Xenopus tropicalis: one gene and its partners. The protein of the gene in region 4 purifies or fractionates together with the protein of the main gene of each other region. This does not show direct contact. Links are inferred from orthologs where the notes say so. Each region holds a gene or a part of one and is shown on either strand. Other genes may lie near its edges.

What was found.
Region 1: the proteins of ap2m1 (region 4) and bmp2k purify together in Homo sapiens (affinity purification with mass spectrometry; 3 studies listed by BioGRID and IntAct, counting the BioPlex papers as one, with this or other methods). This does not show direct contact. The link is inferred for Xenopus tropicalis from reciprocal best matches to the Homo sapiens genes AP2M1 and BMP2K.
Region 2: the proteins of ap2m1 (region 4) and ralbp1 purify together in Homo sapiens (affinity purification with mass spectrometry; 3 studies listed by BioGRID and IntAct, counting the BioPlex papers as one, with this or other methods). This does not show direct contact. The link is inferred for Xenopus tropicalis from reciprocal best matches to the Homo sapiens genes AP2M1 and RALBP1.
Region 3: the proteins of ap2m1 (region 4) and ap1g1 purify together in Homo sapiens (affinity purification with mass spectrometry; 3 studies listed by BioGRID and IntAct, counting the BioPlex papers as one, with this or other methods). This does not show direct contact. The link is inferred for Xenopus tropicalis from reciprocal best matches to the Homo sapiens genes AP2M1 and AP1G1.

The regions. Positions count from the first base shown.
Region 1 is NC_030677.2:94,841,856-94,847,222, forward strand, and holds part of bmp2k (BMP-2-inducible protein kinase), read left to right. Parts: intron 1-755; coding exon 756-851; intron 852-1,455; coding exon 1,456-1,619; intron 1,620-4,866; coding exon 4,867-5,027; intron 5,028-5,367. UniProt on the Homo sapiens protein: May be involved in osteoblast differentiation.
Region 2 is NC_030682.2:104,592,285-104,597,651, reverse strand, and holds part of ralbp1 (ralA-binding protein 1), read right to left. Parts: coding exon 5,198-5,367; intron 3,175-5,197; coding exon 2,825-3,174; intron 1-2,824. UniProt on the Homo sapiens protein: Multifunctional protein that functions as a downstream effector of RALA and RALB. As a GTPase-activating protein/GAP can inactivate CDC42 and RAC1 by stimulating their GTPase activity.
Region 3 is NC_030680.2:59,354,187-59,359,553, reverse strand, and holds part of ap1g1 (AP-1 complex subunit gamma-1), read right to left. Parts: intron 4,961-5,367; coding exon 4,905-4,960; intron 4,823-4,904; coding exon 4,709-4,822; intron 4,604-4,708; exon of another isoform or gene 4,525-4,603; intron 4,433-4,524; coding exon 4,292-4,432; intron 2,643-4,291; coding exon 2,588-2,642; intron 2,309-2,587; coding exon 2,186-2,308; intron 2,033-2,185; coding exon 1,943-2,032; intron 1,867-1,942; coding exon 1,739-1,866; intron 667-1,738; coding exon 562-666; intron 480-561; coding exon 338-479; intron 210-337; coding exon 83-209; intron 1-82. UniProt on the Homo sapiens protein: Subunit of clathrin-associated adaptor protein complex 1 that plays a role in protein sorting in the late-Golgi/trans-Golgi network (TGN) and/or endosomes.
Region 4 is NC_030681.2:100,102,685-100,107,363, forward strand, and holds the end of ap2m1 (AP-2 complex subunit mu), read right to left. Parts: intron 4,539-4,679; coding exon 4,441-4,538; intron 3,680-4,440; coding exon 3,568-3,679; intron 2,874-3,567; coding exon 2,739-2,873; 3' UTR 1,840-2,738; downstream 1-1,839.

The sequences.
Region 1 (5,367 bases), on a different chromosome or scaffold from region 4:
ATGTTTAAGCCCTATTGAGCTGTGGCTTGTTTTACTTGTATTGGTTATCATATGTATTTTGTACAATGTATTTAATCTACATATTCAGTTTATACACCCATCAGTGTTGTTGAATGTGTTTGTATTTTATGTGTTAACACTACTAGTAAAACCAGTGTTCTACTACTGCTACTTCTACTAATAATAATTATTAAGATACTGTATAACGAACACCATTATTATACCAGTATACACATTTACACTGCAGCTCACACTGGGCAAGAGTACTGTTATAAAGAACCCTTTGCTTTACTTAGGATTTTTTTGTTGTGGTTGATATATTGTTTGGAATGTGGGACTCAAGTATTTAGCAACAAGTTCACAAATTATTGAGCTTTTAACAAAAACGACAATTTGCAATGGATTACTAAGATGCGAGTACAGCAAATTACGACTTATTAACAGTACAGCCACAAGACATCCTTATACTGCCATTATTACACCAGCGAAACATCAAAAATACTGCAAATGCATCTGATGAAAAAAAGAGTTTGTGCTTTTATTTTAAATAAGAAAGAGGAATTTAAAAAAGGTGGAAGGAAAGGAAACATTTTCATACAGGTTTATTTATATATTTTGTAATAGCAATAATGGTTGTGTTTTGCTGTTGGGTGGTTGAATTAAAAAGCATTTCAAACCTCAATTTTAGCACTTTTGGTTTAGTTAAAGGGTTACAGCAAAAAGCAGTAATTAAGGCTGTATCATTTTTTTAATAGTATCAGCAAGCACTTCAACAGCAGATTCTTCAGCAGCAATTTCTGATGCATTCCATTTACCAGCAGCAACAGCATCCACTTACATTTCCAACCATGGTAAGAAAAATACACTAATAAGCAGATTTAGTAAAATTTGGGCTAGTGAATTAAGAATTTGCATCAGTTGCAAAATTTTTGTAAAGCTCCTATTAATTTATTGAAGTGGATCAATGTGTTAGTTCATCATAGACTATAGTCACATTCAATCCTGTTCTGTGGGTGTTAAAAAAAAAAAAAACGTTCTCATCAAACAAGTCTTGTCAGAGTAGTGACCTTACGCTTGATATTGATTGTAATATGATAGTAAAATAAAGCCAATGTTAATAGTGTACCATATCACATTTTCTTGCGCATAGTTCATGGGTGCTTTTTTTGTGGGGTTTGAAGTCCCTGTTACTGTTTTCTTTTGTTTGAGCTTCCCACTAAATATATCCTTGTTTTAGTAAACTTTTAGGAGCCACATTTCTTAAATCTAAAGCCTGTTATGAGGCAAGAGATGCCTTCAGCTATGTCATGGGTATTTTCCATAACAAAGAAAAACCTGAGTCAATTGCTCTTTTTATTAGTTTGACTGAAATGCTATGGTTATAACACAGAATGATCTAGTTGTGAAATTGTCATACATTTCTGCTCCAGTATATTTTATATCATGTTTTCAAAGGTTCATCAATATCAACAGACACATATACAGCATCAACCGCAAGTCCTTGTTCAGCATCAGCCGCATATTCAGCACCTGAGATCTCCTCAAGAGATTACACCAGTTTCATATGCAGCCTCATTATCTGAGCAAGTGGGAGGACTGGGAAACTCATGCAGTACCAGGTAATAAGAAATGTGGTATATTAAAACCACCTAGTACAACTAAACTCAAAATCTAGGTATTTTCATATTAACATAGGAATGCCCCGAATTCACTATTTTGGGATTCGGCTAAACCCCCAATCCTTTGTGAAAGATTCGGGCGAATACCGAATCGAATCCTAATTTGCATATGCAGATCAAATAAACGAAGGTTTAAAAAGAAAAATTTTCAACTTCCTTGTTTATGTGATGAAAAGTCACATGATTTTAAGGATACAGATTCGGCCAGGACCATAGATTCAGCTGAATCCGAATCCTGCTGAAAAAGGCAGAATCTTGGCCAAATCCCAAACCGAATCCTGGACTCTTTGCATCCCTATATTAACAACAGTTTTGATGTAGAGACAACCAGGTAGTGAAGAGTCTTGCACTGAGGGTGTTGTTAATCTTAAGGTAATGGGATAAGTAAAAAACAATGGCAAGTATAGAAGGCTGGCCAGTTCAGCTTATTTTGACCTTAATGTCTGACCACCTAGGCCCGTCATGGGGACCCTGAGGCTTATGATCCTGCTATCTTGCTGGATCAAGAATTATTGGCCCTGATGCAGAGGCATTTTGACCCCAGTGCCATCTTGAGGTGGTGTGGGTGATGCTTCCTGCCACTCTGCACTTAAGAATTTTGACTCTTCTAGTGCAGAAAGCGCTATTGATGCATAAAAACTATTTCAGAGTTGCAATTTCAGCTCTTAAAGTTATCAGGATCTGCATCTCTGCAGTTACTTATTTCATCCTGCTGTTCTGGTCTTTGGGGAGATGGACTCCAACAAATGGAACAATTGCAAAATTTCAATGGACATGTATGGCCTGTCTTTACAGGGGTAGTTCACCTTACAATTACCCTTTAGTTAGTATAGAACTAGTATTCTAAGAAAATTTGTAAATGGTCTTCATGTTTTTATTTTTTTTGTATTTTTTGTGGTATTTACTTGTTATTGTTCTGCAGGTCACAGGCTTGAAATTTCCACTTCTGTCTAGGTGCCCTAGCAAAAGGAAATGATAAGAAGTGGGGCCAAATAGAAATATATAAGCAATAAAAAATTAATAACAATACAGCTATAGCTTTATGGCGTTCTTGGCTTCAGAGGTAATTTACAGCTGGGAAACAGGCAGAACAGTAACACTAACAAGGCTAGTATTTGTATTATTAAAGGAGATGTCAACCCTAATTTTAATTTCACTTCTAATGGATAGGGCGCCTTACCCCCACTTAAACGTTTTGCGTGTCATCCGGCGGCCATTTTGCGCGCCTGACCTCTTCAAGGATTTTTTTTTAAGCTTCTGCTTTTTTAAACAAAGCTGACAGACAGCTTTTTCCTTAAAATGAAACTGTTAGGGCATTAAAGAACAATAAAATTAAACAGGAATGAAGTGTACATTGCTTAAGTATTTCAGCAAACACTGTTTAAGCTTGCAAGACTCACTTACAAAATACCTGCAGTTCAGATTCAGCGGTGAAAAGGTTAAACTTTCCTGCCTGCAGTCAGAAGAACATGTTCCAAGAGAGGGAGCAGAGAGCTCTTGTTTACAAAGGCAGAGTTAGTATAGCAACTGTCTATGAGATCGGCTCATTGGAGGATTGACTGTGGGCGTGGTTAAAGAGTTCAATCATCTGCTGTGTAGAGAAGAGATTCATCTCAAGTGAGCATGCTCATTAAAACGGCTTGGAACTGGGCATGTGCATCACGCCAGGCAGACAAGGAGATTCTGAAGGGAGGGGGGAGAGGGAGTTACACAGCTCTGCAGTGAGAGAAACTCCAAGGGATTGCTGCAGCTTCAGTGTTTGCTTCTGAGGGACAGGAGTGGCACATATTTAAATAGTGCTGTGAGGCTTTTCTCTGCTAAAATTATTGGTTGGGGGGTTGACATGTCCTTTAAAAATATTTGAGCCCTAAGGGATTCATATCTGTTCAAATTCTATTCAAAGGGTAGTTACATACATGGTACCATTGTAATATAGACTGAAACAAGACACATTTACATCCTTTTGGTCTAAATAAAACCTAACTGCTGGTTGATCCAGAACCCCATCTGGAGCTTTTCCGATTTTCTTCAGAGGAGGAGAAAACTAGTTCCTGACTTCAAAGTGGCATTTGCACCAGTCCCAGGCTTAACTTTGTACTAATATTAATTATTCATGGGAGCACTTACTGGTCACAGCTGTGTACTGCCGAGACCCAGACAGCATATCACTCCACCAATCAGAAAAAATGTACCGTGCACCCAAACATCGCTGGATAAAAATCACTGTTTATTCAGTCCATTTAAAAAACAGGCTATGTACCATTCGCTTGACGCGTTTCATGGCCTCACGCCGCTTCCTCAAAAGCTGCATTGTACTAAGATTTCAGTAATCTTATTTATCTGCCAGTACAACCATTTCAGTACCATCGTGATTGCATTATTGGAAGAGTTTATATGCCAAGAACTTCCTGTATCAGTCCATTTGCTCTAAATTTATTGCTAGATATGCCATGAACTGGATGAATAAAAACCTTCATAGACATAGTCCTATGCTTGGAATTTTTTTCAGCTGATGTATTCTTCTTGTTCTTTCTCTACCCTGCTTTCAAGTCGTGGTACAGAAAACTCGTTGCCATGTGGGGCTACAGTTTTATTATTGTTATTGTCAAACCCCTGTGTATATACTTGTTTGGTAAAAAACTGCCACTGCTGTAATGCCAAGATAATTTTGAATTGGAATTTGCTTTCCAGTTAGCACTTACATGCCTAAGGGCATTTTAAGGACAAGGAATCCCCCCCCCCCCCCCCAATCTTTAAAAGATAATTGTTTCTTTTGGGGCAGATATTAGTGAATATGTTGGTAACAAATAATAATGTGCATATGTGTATATGTGTATATATATATATATATATATATATATATAACTCAACAGTAGAAAGCACTCACACCTATAGCATCAATCAAGTCAGTGATTTATTTCAGCATACCATCTACGCGTTTCCATCACCACAGGATCATCATCATCAGGATCCTGTGGTGATCGTAACGCGTAGATGGTATGCTGAAATAAATCACTGACTTGATTGATGCTATAGCTGTGAGTGCTTTCTACTGTTGAGTTTGATGCATTATTTTTGTCAGCACCCAGCCGTTGCCCCGATATTGGTGAGTGCCGATTCTTTACGAGACTATATATATATAATATAAATATATATAATATATATATTTATATATTTTTTTTCTTAGATCTACGAACATTTCAGAAATGGAAACTGGTTCTAGTGTTCCTAAACACAACAGCAGCAACCCACCAGATATGTCTGGGTGGAACCCATTCGGAGATGACAATTTCTCTAAGTTAACAGAAGAAGAATTACTGGACAGGGAATTTGACCTTCTAAGATCAAGTAAGGGGCGATTGAAGGCCTATTTTGCATCACAATAATATGGACAAATCGTTAACTGCCAGAGGCTGTACTGGCACAAGGACCACAAACTTTGCATTATAAAACTTCTCTTTCTAAGTGTCCAAGGGCAACACTGAGTTCTGTGATTACAAGGAACATGGTATATACTGTATACTCAAGCTACAAACAAAATATTCTGCTATGAAACAATCCACTATTCATAAACTGTTATAGTGAACTTCTGCTGCAAGTACAAGAAGACTCTATATATCCTCCTTGCTACATTTCATTTTGCGTATTGTCTGACCAGTGATGCCCTTTGACAGTGCTTGAAAGAAGA
Region 2 (5,367 bases), on a different chromosome or scaffold from region 4:
TTTGCTCTTGCCAAGAAGCACCTTGAAAAGATACACGTGGCGTGGCACAGATCAAAGAGAAACCTGGATCTGTAAAATCTATGGCACTGGGATAATGGTACTTTTATGCTGGCACTGTAGTCTATATCGAGTGACACAAAGGGTTAAATAGTAAAGCACTGTTTACAGGAAGGATTACCTTTCACTATATATATAAGTCTGAGTGCTTTTATACATGTTGTGAAACTCCAAGGTGACTTTTAACCCCCCTAATGAAATAAGTTAGCCCTGTTTTTTTTTTTTAAGATATTCAAGGCTCTTATATATCAAACCATTATTACTGACGCTTAATGATGTCACCTGGCACAGTTGCCTTCCCCTGCCATCCCACCGGCAAACATGTAAGTCACCGGTGGGATGGCAGACGCGGCGGCGCGATTTAGCGCAAATCGCCGAAAAAGACTCGCGAGTCTTTTTCGGCGATTTCCCGAAATCGCCCCGCCGCGTCTGCCATCCCGCCGGCGACTTACATGTTCGCCGGTGGGATGGCAGGGGAAGGCAACTCGGGGAGATTAGTCGCCCGCGAACAGGGAGTTTTGCCGCGGGCGACTAATCTCCCCGTGTGCCAGAGCCCTAAAAAGTGGAGTGAAACATTACCAGTGATGTTGCTCATAGCAGCCAATCAGATGCTTTGCTTTGATTTTCTAACTGTTGAAATCTAATTGCTGATTGGTTGCCCTGGGCAACATCACCAGTAATGCTTCACTCCACGTTTTACATGGCATGATAAATATACCCCTTACTGTCCAGGGCATGTAAAGAAAAATCATGACTAGCAACATTAAAACAATGTAACTGGAGTCTGTTCTACTCTAGGCCTCTTATTCAGCAGGCTTGCAACATTGTCTGGGTGTTTATATTCTCTCACCCCTCAAACAGACACTTTTTTCAATAGCAAAATTACATTTATCCTCTATTTGTATTATTTTATGTGATTACATATATATTACACATTATGGGAAAGAGTTATCAAAACGTGAGGTTAAAGCCCACAACATAAAATTTAACCCACTCTCTATTGATTTCTAAGGGATTTTCAAAAGTGTGTTTATAAAGGGGTGAAAAGTTAGAGCTCACCATTTGATAAAGAACCCCTCTGAACATCCCACAGAAATTAATAGGAAGTGGGTGAATATTTCTGTGGTGAGCTCTAATCTCACACCTTGATAAATATTTCCCTAAGTATTTAAATGGAAGCCAAAGTTACTTTGCTATTAAAATACAACTTAAGTATAACACTATTAAGGCAAATGTATTTATATAATGCGTTGCGATTATCCGGAAACAGTACTTTATATAACAACTTAAATGTAAGTTTACGGGGAAAAAAAAAAAAACCATCCTTGGCAATCTACAAAACTGATTACTGTTGACAGTAAAATCATTTTACAACACAGAATGCTTAGATTTCCTCAACAGATACTAAATCTCTAAATGTAAATATATCAGCATTTGCCACTTTTTTTTTTCAGACAAAAGCTCATGAAACCCATCAGCTATTGTCTGTTTTCCAGAGGGATCAAGGAAGGAAGGAAGAACAGATTTAGCCTTTAGAAAATCTCCAGCATCATCTAAATATGGGCTGACTGATAGGGGCTTGAATTCAAGTTGTAGTCCTATTTTTGTTTAGTTAATAGGCCTCCATCTCACCCAATGTCTAATGTTCAACAGTCCTATATACAAGCCAACTGGCTCAGCAGAATTAATGAAAAGAGGATAATTTGTTTTTTTCAGTAAAATAAATAGTAGTTCATATATGCACAATTAGGGGGAAATGGAAAAGAATCTTTACAAATGGTCATCAGCTAAAATCAAAGAATGGCAATTGATGGAACTGAGCAGCTAAATGCTAAGTACAAACTCCACCAGAAGCTCTGTCCAGTCCCCCCCCCCCCCCCCTCTCTTAGACATAAGCTTGTTCTGTTCAACCATAGTCTGCCTCTTTTTTACAGGGACCATTTCCCAAGCCCAGGCATTGAAGAGATTCAGCTCCAACCTTACTCCATACTGAATGAAGGATTCTGGGACTTCTGGGCTACTTCAAGTCCCAGTATCCATCACTTCAGTATCAAACAAGGTGCAATGGCAATTTGTACTAAAATGCTTAATTCTACATCAAAATAAAAGCTATTTTTAACGTGAACATCCCCTTTTAAAATAATTAACCATCCATTTCTTTGTGTAGTTCACATTTAAATTAAAATTTAGTGTGTTATAGAATGGAGTATTCTTAGCACCTTTTACATTTTTGTTTTTTATTAAATTTTTTGGGGGGTTTCAGTTTTTTTTTTCTATTTTCTGAATTACTAGCTTTGCTCTGTGAGGCTGCAGTTTTATTGTTATTGATACCTTTAATTACTTTCAGTCTCCCATTCGCGCCACTGCTTAGTTACTAGAGTAAATTGGACCCCGCTATTAGATAGCTGCTATTTAGTTGCTAGGGTTCAGCAGTTGGAGAGTTGCTCAACAAAAAGCTAAATAACTCAAAATTCAATAACTAAAAAAATAAAGAGTAATTACGAACTGCCTCAAAATATCTGTCACTGTCTACATTTTAATAAAGGTGAACTCTTTCTTGAAACTATAAATTGCATTTCCCTATTCTCCAATAGCATATTGTTAGTAGTACTGTTGGTAGTACACAGCTCATTTTGCAAAATAAGAAGGAAAGTAAATTAATTGGAAGCCCACATACTGCACATTCACACAAGTAGATCACTCACTCACAGAAAACATGATTAATCCCATACACTGTGCCAAACTCTGGCAGTCGTTTCTTTTGTACCTGAACAGTAGGGCTCAGCACAATAGAAATGTTCTGTATGTTCATTTTTGTTTCAAGTTCCTTCTCTATGACATGGTCCATGTGCACTATTAGCCATGAAGTCAGGCAGAAGTTGCATTCTGGCAGTTCCTTCAATAAGCGCTGACACTCCTGCAGCCTCTCCCCTTCTGTACTTTTGCCACACGCCTCCTCAAACCGTGGCATTAGATCTTTGGTCAGCACATTTTCTGGTAGCTCCCGCAGGTATTGCTTTAATAAACTTGCCACTGTGTATGGCTCATAATCCTCCAGGTTTGGAGACTCCCCTCTGTCATAAGCTGCCTTTAGCTCATCCACCTTCGACTTTATTCCTGGGAAAGCAAAAATAATAAGCACTAAATAAGTTCATATATACACTTTATAAAAGAATATAATATATAAAAGAATATAACAAGAATGTAACAGCATTTTATACACGTGGTCCTGCCCTTATTTTATCTCCAATAAATGTATATAGTGCTGCTTGTGTCTCGGTATGGGGCATTTCATTGGATTTTTACTTCAACTCCATGCTAACTGCTGACTATACTTAAAGGGATACTGTTGCCAGAATTCAAAAGGTATACATCTTTAACTGAAAATAATGTAAAATCTTAAACCATTAGCAACACCAAACATTTAATAACCCATGTACAGTGGAGGAAATAATTATTTGACCCCTCACTGATTTTGTAAGTTTGTCCAATGACAAAGAAATGAAAAGTCTCAGAACAGTATCATTTCAATGGTAGGTTTATTTTAACAGTGGCAGATAGCACATCAAAAGGAAAATCGAAAAAATAACTTTAAATAAAAGATAGCAACTGATTTGCATTTCATTGAGTGAAATAAGTTTTTGAACCCCTACCAACCATTAAAAGTTCTGGCTCCCACAGAGTGGTTAGACACTTCTACTCAATTAGTCGACCTCATTAAGGACACCTGTCTTAACGAGTCACCTGTATAAAAGACACCTGTCCACAGAATCAATCAATCAAGCAGACTCCAAACTCTCCAACATGGGAAAGACCAAAGAGCTGTCCAAGGATGTCAGAGACAAAATTGTAGACCTGCACAAGGCTGGAATGGGCTACAAAACCATTAGCAAGAAGCTGGGAGAGAAGGTGACAACTGTTGGTGCGATTGTTCGAAAATGGAAGGAGCACAAAATGACCATCAATCGACCTCGCTCTGGGGCTCCACGCAAGATCTCACCTCGTGGGGTGTCAATGATTCTGAGATTGGTGAAAAAGCATCCAAGAACTACACGGGAGGAGTTAGTTAATGACCTCAAATTAGCAGGGACCACAGTCACCAAGAAAACCATTGGAAACACATTACACCGCAATGGATTAAAATCCTGCAGGGCTCGCAAGGTCCCCCTGCTCAAGAAGGCACATGTGCAGGCCCGTCTGAAGTTTGCCAATGAACACCTGAATGATTTTGTGAGTGACTGTGTTTGGAGGAAGAAAAATGCTGCCTATGACCCCCAAAACACCGTCCCCACAGTCAAGCATGGGGGTGGAAACATTTTGCTTTGGGGGTGTTTTTCTGCTAAGGGCACAGGACAACTTATTCGCATTAACGGGAAAATGGACGGAGCCATGTATCGTGAAATCCTGAACGACAACCTCCTTCCCTCTGCCAGGAAACTGAAAATGGGTCGTGGATGGGTGTTCCAGCACGACAATGACCCAAAACATACAGCAAAGGCAACAAAGGAGTGGCTCAAGAAGAAGCACATTAAGGTCATGGAGTGGCCTAGTCAGTCTCCGGACCATAATCCAATAGAAAACCTAGGAGGGAGCTCAAGCTCAGAGTTGCACAGAGACAGCCTCGAAACCTTAGGGATTTAGAGATGATCTGCAAAGAGGAGTGGACCAACATTCCTCCTAAAATGTGCGCAAACTTGGTCATCAATTACAAGAAACGTTTGACCTCTGTGCTTGCAAACAAGGGTTTTTCCACTAAGTATTAAGTCTTTTTTTGTTAGAGGGTTCAAAAACTTATTTCACTCAATGAAATGCAAATCAGTTGCTATCTTTTATTTAAAGTTATTTTTTCGATTTTCCTTTTGATGTGCTATCTGCCACTGTTAAAATAAACCTACCATTGAAATGATACTGTTCTGAGACTTTTCATTTCTTTGTCATTGGACAAACTTACAAAATCAGTGAGGGGTCAAGTAATTATTTCCTTCACTGTAAATGGTAAGATATAAACTAAACAAACATAAGAGAAGTAAAATATAACTTATTAAGGAAAGTAAATATTATTGTATTGTTAATATATTTATGCAAGTTAAGTTAATTAACCAGAACAAGTTTTGTATTTTTCAATAATTTTCAGACTTACCAGACACTCTGTAGATGCCTTCACATTTCATCCCATGTTGCTCTATGTAGTCAATGCATTCCCTAAATACTGCTGGTAACCTTATCCCATCATACATCATGGTGCGCTCTGCAGCTTCAACCAGAGGAATGCCAAACATAGGCCTCAGCCTGGGGATATCCACAGGGAGA
Region 3 (5,367 bases), on a different chromosome or scaffold from region 4:
CAAATTCATATTAGTTCTCACATGAACTGGAAAATCATAACACAGGGCATAAGATGGCCGAAAACAACTTAAACTGACTTACCACTGAGATTGAGGTCTCCAAGCAAATCTAAAAGCTCTCCTCCTACAGAAGCAGGTTTGGTAGGGTGTGCAGTGGGTATGACTAGCTGAATATCATTTCCGCCCAACAAATCTAATAAGTCATTAGCCTGTAATAATGAAATCACACTGTGTTAAGGGACAAAAATTAGAGAAGAAATATTTTATGCAAGTGCTGTCCTTTAAACTGACTTTTGCGACATAGGCAGAACCTGTTTTAGCGGAGTTTAGATGTTACCTGGCTAGAAGGCTGCTGAATAGACTGAACTGGCTTAGAGTCAATAACTGCAGGGTCTGTTTCTCCATTTGTTTGTGCCAAGTCTGTTGGTCCATTTGTCAATGCTTTCTCCATAATAGGCATTCTTTCAAGGAGTGCAGGCCTAGAAGGATTAAGTTCCTATGAGCTTTCCTTCTCATGGAATAACTGTGATAGCCATAAGCTGTAATAAGGCTATTCCTTACCTCATGTGGTCATATTTCTTGAATAAAGCATTGTATTCTACTGCCCTTTGCTGCAACTCAACATCAATGCTGCTGCCATAGATGGATACCACTTTTTTAATACGGCTACAAAAAAAACAAACAAATGGAACATTACAAATCCATTAGGTCCATTCAGGACCCTGAACTCTAGCTTCTTTTGGAGTAGCAAATTAAAGAAACATAAGCTATACAAGCAGAGACATCCTTCCTTATGGGTCTCATACCGCATGGCATCTAATCTCTGGGTATTAATACTTAATTATTGTATTTATTATACACACATACATAAAGTTATACATACATACATAAAGAGAAAAAAATAAGGATGCAACAAATCCAGAGTCTGGTTTAGAATTGGGACAAATCCCATCATTAGTGCCCTGGTTTTCATGCGCACTGCTGGCACTAGACACCTGAGGATGAACATTATCTCTCACCTAGATGAAATATTCATGGCTATAGTCAGATCACTGTCTGTACTGAAATGCTTATAGGAAAGAAAAGAATATTTATAAACTGGCGCACACCTTTTTACAATTCAAGTTTAAAAAAACGTGAAAGTTAAAGGAGAAAGAAAGGTAAAAACTAAGTAAGCTTTATCAGAAAGGTCTATGTAAATACAGCCAAAAGCACTCACAGAAACCAGAGCCAATCAGCAGGAAGCTGACTCATAGTCTAACTAACTGAGCATGTTCACTTGGTCTGGGTGTCTGTGCAGGAGTGAGGCATTATGGGAACTTTCTTTACACAGCTCAGTGTTTTTCTTCCTGTTTGGCTTCTGATCTTCTGAACAGGTGAAATATGGGGAGACTTAAGGGCACTATTGAGACAATTGAAGGTATGCCTGCAGCTTGAGATTAACTCTTTACTAGCCTTTCTTCTCCTTTAAATAAAGAAACTTGTAAGAGAAAAGCTGCTGTTTCTATTGAACTGTGTCAAACAACTTCTGTGAAAAACAGCAACCACAACTATTAGTTTTTTCTTAAATAGCCTAAAGCTTGAGCATATAAAAAGTTGCAGTCACGTCACCTGAATTTTGTCTTTTTTTCCCCACAATCATGTTTTTTCCCCTTAAACTCAAAAACTGATAACTCTGCTTCCCTGTGTGCCCTTCCCTAAACATTTTATCATCCTCAACTCAAAAAAAGATACCTACTTAACAGTGTTGTTAAACCTAGTGGAGTTTTTCATGATGGCCGTCAGGGCAAAACCTCGCGTAACAGATGTGGACATGTTGGAGATCAAAATGCTTTCTAAAATATCCAGCACCTCATCTTCCGTAACCTAAATTTAAGAAATACAATCTTAGGAAGTGCCAGACAAATCAAACAATACTAGTTTCTTTAGGGACCCCAATTACCTGGATAGGTTCCTCTTCCTCACACTGGCCCGAAACCAGCAGGTCTCCATATTCACCTATGCACCATGAGCAAACTTGGACCAGTGGTTGCTAAAGTATAAAGCCAATGGCAAAAATCATAAATCAATTTATGTTGTATACTATGTCAATGGCTTAAATGTAGCGATTAACATGAACATAACTGTCCATAATATAACTCTTTACCAATCAAATTCCTTCTTTGTGTAAAATTCAGTTCTTTACCTGGGAAATATCATCCAGAATGGCCTTGTAGAGCTTTTGTACAGTATATTCATGCATCTCTGAGCTATTTGTAATTAGCTGAATAAGATTTGGAACTGCATCATCTCGTACATAGCTTCCAGCCTACAAAAATAATGAAAGCAAGAGTAAAGAAAAAAGAAAGGTGAATGGGACAACAGTAGAATAAAGGTTTAAAGGCCAAATTTTCACTTTCAACTCATTGAATTTGTATGACCCCCAAGAGAGCCTAAGGAACCACATATTAGGAATATGCGGCTATACAGATGCTTTGCACACTATGATAATACTGATCAACACTGCAGTGAGGAACTTTTATCTGACCACATCATGAAGGTTAACAAGGAAATGCTTAGGGTAGTTTTCTTTTAAATCTTTACTTACTGTTGTAAGAACTCTCATAATTGTATCTATGTGCCAACGCTTTGAAGGGGCATATCTAAAAGAGTAAAGTGGTCAAAAATAATCTCATTAGTAGCAAAACATTAAAAACAGAAGTGCAAACACAGTTCTAAATTTCGCAGACATGTAGCTCTGCAACATATACTGTATTGTATTGCAATACATTCATTGCAATAATACAGGTATAGGACCTGTTATTCAGAATGCTCTGCTCTGCATGGGGTAATTTGGATCTGCATAACTTAAGTCTGCTAAAAAATTATTTAAATATTGAATAAACCCAAAAACGGGTTTCCGGATAAGGGATCCCATATCTGTACCAGTTATTCTGCTAGCATTTCTGATCCTGTAAAACTGCAGTGTGCTTGTATTAGGGATGCACCGGAACCACCCTGACTGATTCTGCCGAATCCCAAACGGAAGCATATGCTAATTAGAATGGGGAAGGGTTAAAAATTGGCACGCGTTGCACGGCGAAAATTCCCCCCCCCCCCCCCCCCATTTAACCCTTCCGAATGCTAATTAGCATATGCAAATTAGGATTTGGATTCAGTGTGCCCAGGACCGCGGATTCCTTCCAAATCCTTCAATAAAAAAAAAAAAAAAAAAAAAAGATTGGATTTGGCCTGATTCCCGAACCGAATCTGGGATTCGGTGCATCCCTAGTTTGTATGTTCTCCCCATTCTCCCCATAATAGTTTTCTTCTATGTAATCCTTATCTGACACGGTTTTAAAATTTAAAGGCAGGTTAACTGGTTCTTGAAAAAAGAATTGCTGAAAATGTCAGTGCTATGTAAATAAAGGAAAATAACTCTAATATCTCAAAATTATGAAAGCCAACAATATCCTCTGCAGCAAATAAAATTTCCAGCATGCCTTCTTTAGTTAATAGTAGTTGTTATACTTCTAACAAAAACCTAGTGAGGAAAAACCTGCACTATAAATGTATATTACGCCTTGTAAACTGAGTGAATGGTGATCTAGATGTGTCCTAGTCATGTCACATTACATGCTGGAGAACACCGTACATGAAATGGTCATAATATGAAGAAATGTTATATAGTGATTGCACCCACTCTCTTCTAGAATAGAATAGAGAGGCAAATATGCTATACTATGCAAACTAGCATTTTAATGCACTGACACGGTTTACTATACTCCCAGCACAGAGATAATTGCTTTGTAAATGTATGTCCCTTCACTGATGGGCCTGAAATGAGGAAAAAACACAGCCCTAAATATTAATAGACATTACACAAATACCTAACAAAATTATGCTTAGGATATCCACAGAGTTCACTATACCAGACACAATTGTGTTACTACAGGTGCCATACACAGGCTGATCCTGTATGGTATCAGACTGATTGGCCTATAGGCTGAAGGGACCAATACTTAGCATTGATACCTGAGTGTTGAGTGTGTACAATCAGCTAAAGGATGGGGTGGGGGAAGAAAGGTTGTAGAAAGACCCTGTTAAGCGAAGGAGATTCAGGTGGCAACTTTGCAGTTATAGATTTGCACTATCACACAGTAACTGTACCCCATAACATATTAGTCCAGCATATGGATTACATTTTAGCCTTATATTTTGTAGGGTTTTGGTTGCATTGTAATGTCCTTTGCGCAGTGTCACTGTATTGAGCAAGAGCAAGTGGTGTATAATAACACTGCAAGTTACTTACTTTTCTGCAGCTAAGAAGATGCCCGAAGCACAGTCAGCTTTAAATTCAGGTTCACAGGAGTCCAGAAAATACAGAAGCTCTTTCATCATTCCACGGATATTATTCCCATTCACCAAAGCAAAGCTAAGCTCCATTGCTCGCCTTACAAAAAACAAAATACAAAAGGGCATAATGAAGACAATGCCTGGCTTTCTGATGGCAGCCTAAGTAACTGGTGGTCTGAGTAACAGGTCTGGTTGTTGTCAGGTTTTAGGATCTCAGCACGGTAAGTCTCTGCCGATGGATCACTTAATAATCATCACACAACAAACAAAGTATTTACTGTTATCTATATTATAAAATACCATACATCACAACTTTTGGTTGTGTCTACTATAACAAGTATTAGCTCTTGGGGCATTTTAGGTAGTCTCTTACCGTTTAATAGATACATCCAAATCCTTCAGACAATCTACAATGGTGCTACGATGCCTCTGCACTGCATTGTGGTCAGTCTGTACTGTTTTTAGAAGAGATGTCAAGGCCACATACCTAGAAAAGAGAAGATACTTTTTTACATTATGCCCTCTTGCATTTCATTATAACAATAAATACAAAAGTTGATGAAACTTACCGAATATTTTTATCATTATTTAACAAGAATCTTCCCAAAATATTAATAGCTAAAACCTGCAAAAAAAATTGTAGTTGTGTAACTGTATAAAAAGGGAAAGACAGGGTACAAAAGTGGCACATCTGGCTAAAGATAAAGAATATACTGTGGAAAGCACTAGGTGAGTTTAAAAAAGTCAGGAAAAGAAAATGATGAAATGTAACAAAGAAAAGAATAAAAATAAATATACTGGCCTCTAACTTAAGGTGGCCATACACGCACCGATATTATCGTACGAAACCTCGTTTCGTACGATAATCGGTGCGTGTATGGTATGTCAGCGAGCCGACCGATGTCGCAGGAAGCTGCTGAAATCGGTCGGCTCGTCGATCGGCCAGGTTAGAAAATTTTGATCGGGCGCCATAGAAGGCGCCTGACCAAAATTCTCCCTTCAGAGCTGAATCGGCAGAAGGAGGTAGAAATC
Region 4 (4,679 bases):
ACTAAAGGGGCAAACAGACTTTCGGGGTTCAAAAATAAAATAAAATTAAAGAAGCTGCCTGGTAAAGAAGGTGGGCATGGGCCATTATGGCACCAGGCTCGAGTATAAGCCAAGGGTAACTTTTTCAGCACATTTTGGGTGCTAAAAAACTAGGCTCATACTCGAGTATATACAGTATGTTGTGAAGTTAGGCATAGAATGTCAAAGTATATAGGTTGTATGTGAATATAATTGGAGTTAATCATGCGTTTTGGAATGCAATGTTTCCGCTGTGAAAATACACAGTCACTTCTGTAGTTTACTTATTACTTGGAATTATTTTTGCCAGGCTTTGTTGGACAACCAAATAATATCGAGGAACAGTGGTTAGCACTGCCACCTTGCACAGGCACTCCTGTTTCTTCCCACAATCCAAAATCTACAGCCAGGTTGTTCATTGGCTTCCCAATGCAAGCTTAAGGAATACACTGAAAGATGTATCACCAATATGCCCACCTTGAGGTGGGCAAGGGCCAAACGACTGGGTCACGTTGGCGGGATTGCAGCTAGTCAGGGTGAGGAATGCATCAACAAGCCAATGTGCTCCTCGCCCCAATTTCCTGCCAGATATCGGTCAGGTAAGCCCATGGAAGGGCCCCATATAAGATGCCGACTAGGTCTGTTGGCAGATTATATTGGCCAGGTAGGTTAACTGGCTCTTGATGAAGTTAACTAGTGTAAATGTGATAGGGACCTTAGACTAACATAGTAAGTTCAACATTTTATGTTTATATAACTGTAAGCTCCACTGAGGCAGAGACTGATGAAAATGATAAATAATCTCTTTAAAGTAATTTGCCAACCTCCCTACAGGCAGTAACAAGGGAATGCTAGGTTAGAAGGAAGCTTTGGCCCCAAACAAAATGTGCATCACTAATTAACTTTAAAAACACCTTTGAACCTTCTAGGAATAAAATATACTGTATATTCCTGATACTGCACTTTTTTGTTGAAAAAGTGTTATGGGACTAGTAATAAATGAATAGTACAAGCACTATATAACTTAACATTTATAAATCAGTTTTCATATTCACCATCAAAATGTTTTTCTGATAAGCGAATATCAAATTGTACATTTTCTTGGGAACCTCATTTTTTTCAGCAAATGCACTACTTATGCGAGTGGAGGCTGAAATATGGGTTTTTCCATTAATCTACATATAGTGTTCTTGAATGTGAATCAAAGAAGTAGAAGATGCAATTTTCTAGCAAAAAAAGCTTCATTTTTACACCTAAAAAGGCATGCCATAAGGCCTAACAATAAAGTTATTTTCCAAGAACATTGCATCTTTCTGTTCCCCCCAGCTAATTCTTTGTTTCATTGTTCATGTGGAGTGCAGATCTAATGACAAGAAGTTTGACGATTAGAGTCTGGAAGGCTAAAGACCTATTTGATCGTTTTTTGTTTTTTTTTAAACAGTAGAATTAAAGATATACAGTAAAAATAAAAAAACATGCATTCAACATCATAGAAAACTTAAGAAAGCAAAAAGTTTGTCACTTCTGGGTACCTTCCTAATGTACATAAAGAAATACTAGAATACATTTATGCTGCTACTCATTATGTTCGGTGGAAATAGGATGTTTATTCAACCACTGATCCCACATACATTAGTATTGGTTAGTAACTATGTTGCCAAAGATATTTGCCAAGCATGCCTTAAGAGTCCTGGGAAGGGCAATCTGCATTATGGAGTTCATCTACTACCGTGGACCAGTACAGTTTATCGATGATTTTAAATCCCATAATAAGCCACAATCATGTCCCAATGTTGCTGAAATAACCACTAGACAGACAGATGTGTTCTACGCTGTTTATTACTTGTACAGTTTGAGCGTCACAAAGAAAAACAGAGCAAATCACAACACAAGGAGCACAGAGATGTGAGGGGGAAGTCACACTGCCACAAATAGCAAAATCATTCCTGTGCCAGCACTAATGATTAACTGGCTATGATATGGTTAAATCCATACACTCCCTGTTACTGCAGGAGCTAAAGGACACAGAAGTGCACAATTTATACTTTCTTACACAACCTTCAGCTGTAACATGAGCACCTGTAGAACTTATCCCTCACCTCTTATTTGGTCACATATAATAGAGTGCTTGAGTTATTCCATGAAGAGACAATGCAAAACCTCCCATGCCACATACTGAACCCAATGCTCTGAAACTTCTGCCCAGTTGTTCCTACTCTGCTGGCCTTTGACAGTGTTAAAATTGTATATATTTGAAAGAAATACTAGGGAACATTGAACCCAAGAAGGCTGCCAGTTCCATGATGAGTAGTAAGGTTGGGATGATTGTGGAAAGCACTACACTATACAAGAATACTATCGGTCATCAATATTCACAGATGGGAGTGAGATAAGATACGGCCTGGTCTGTGCTAGATGGGAGGTGGTTATTGGGAAACCACATAGCAGCTATGGCCCAGAGGATACTCCATATCATAGAGAGCGCATCTTATAAATGATAACGCTCTCCAATGCTAAAGAAGGGAACAGCAAGAATTGTTATTAAAAGTATAATGGAGCAAAGGTGGATATTATGGTCAGGTGGGAAAAAGGAAGGGCTATCTCACACCTTTAATCCTACCCATTCTGACCCCTTGGTTAGCATGTTGACTTCCTTTTCTCAATAAAAAGAAATGCAAGTTAAGAGACGGGGCCCACTTCTTTCTGAGTTTTGTGATGTATTAACACCGTGTCTCATAGATCCCACTGCGGCCAATGTATCGCACCCATTTGATCACATCATGGTCGCTGTAGTTTAGTTTTGGTTCAAACACCTTCAGGTAACGCACTTTGAGCCCAGATGGGGCAAACGGGACCTAAAATAGAAAAAAAAAAACAACTGCTTGATAGACCGTCAGCTAAACTTTATGGGGCATAAGCTACCCAAAACAAAATACTAATATAAGTATGGGATCAAGAATGCTTGGGACCTGGGGGACATTGGGGTCCTCTGGATAAGGGGTCTTTTTATAATTATGATCACCATCACCTTACAGTCAGAAGGAAACTTCGGAAAACAAAGCGCCTGCTTCTGGGCAAACTAATCTCACTAAAATGCCTTCCCACCGGCAATTCACTGTACTGGCGGTGGGAGGGCATTACAGGAAGATTAGCCACCCGCAGTAGCTGAGATTTAACAGCGGGCGACTAATCTCCCTGTGGGACAAGGCCATAACCCCCATATGTAATAAAAGGCAGTTTGCCCAGCAGCAGTTATTTATATCAAGCAATAAGGATGTTTGCTTTTAAATAGGTGACTAGTAAATGCTACCTGTTGATTTGTTGCTATGGGCTACTACTCCTGGGCAAACGTAGTGCCTTTTACTACATAACCCCCACTTGTCTACTTAAAGGAAAAAAAGGAAATAAAGTATAAATTATTTGCTTAAAATGTGCTCTATGGAAGATGGCCATCCAGTAATTTGGATAATGGATTCCCAGATCTACATTCTTTAAGGGGAATCTTCTGCCCTACATGTGGCTCCCATACCAAAAGCTTATTTTGCTCACCTCAAAGTTCATGGATATTGGAGGCCGAGCCCATTTCTTCTTATCATTAGTAGGAAGCAGCTCAATCTCTGCACTTATCTGAGATTCCTTCATACCAGCCATGCGCTTTATTCTGCAAAGTAAGTGTTAAACCAATAAATGTATTTCTATGGGGCTTTCCCCATCAAAGTACAACATTTAAGTTTGGACATAATCTGGGCTTTAATGTCATTTTAGAGGATACATTTTGACAGAAATTAATTTCTCTTCTTTTGCTGCAAACAAAAAATATGAGCCTAAAACAATGGCCTTCCTGACCAGCACTGGCACTAGTTCACATATAAAATGGGCTGGAAAAACAAACAAACAAACAAAAAAAAAAACAGAAACTTAGAACTGCACTGGGCCATGGATATGGCCCATGGTCCCAAAGTCAAATCATCAAATATCTCCTCGTTTGGAAAAGGATGAAACTAGATACTTTATCACTTTAGGACCATTTGTATTTTAGCTTTGCTTAGTATTGCACCTAGTCAGTGTTGTGCTTCAAGGGCCAGTGCTGCTAAACATTTGATTTTACAGTGCACACTGCAACTGCAAATAAATCAAAAAAGCACATTTGCACCTTCACTTAAAGTGGAGAAATAGTAACGGGGTGGTGTGCTATCCCAAAACTTGAATCAAGATGAACATAAGGACATAGCTCTAAAAATAAAGGGATTGATGATGTGCTTTCCCCACCCTAGAATGCACAGCTCTAGAACTGAAACTGTCTAAAATACTATATAAAATAAAAGAATGGCATAAAACATTTATGAGGACCTGCTTTACATCATCCCACATGCGGACATCCCAAAACCTGGTCTGTAATTGAAAGATATAAGAGGTTCTTACTTCCACACAATGGCATTCTCACTGGCCTTATACTTTGCTTTTCCTTTCATACAGATGACCTGTACTCCACTGGTGTTGAGTGGGGTTGGAATCCTCACCTACAAAATTAATAACCACATTATTTTTCAGTCATTTATCAATGTCTTGTCCAACTATCCAAAGAGAAAAGGAACAAGACACAATGAAGAGAAAACTGCAGACTATTAAATGTATTAGCGAATTGGAACCAGGATATAAGT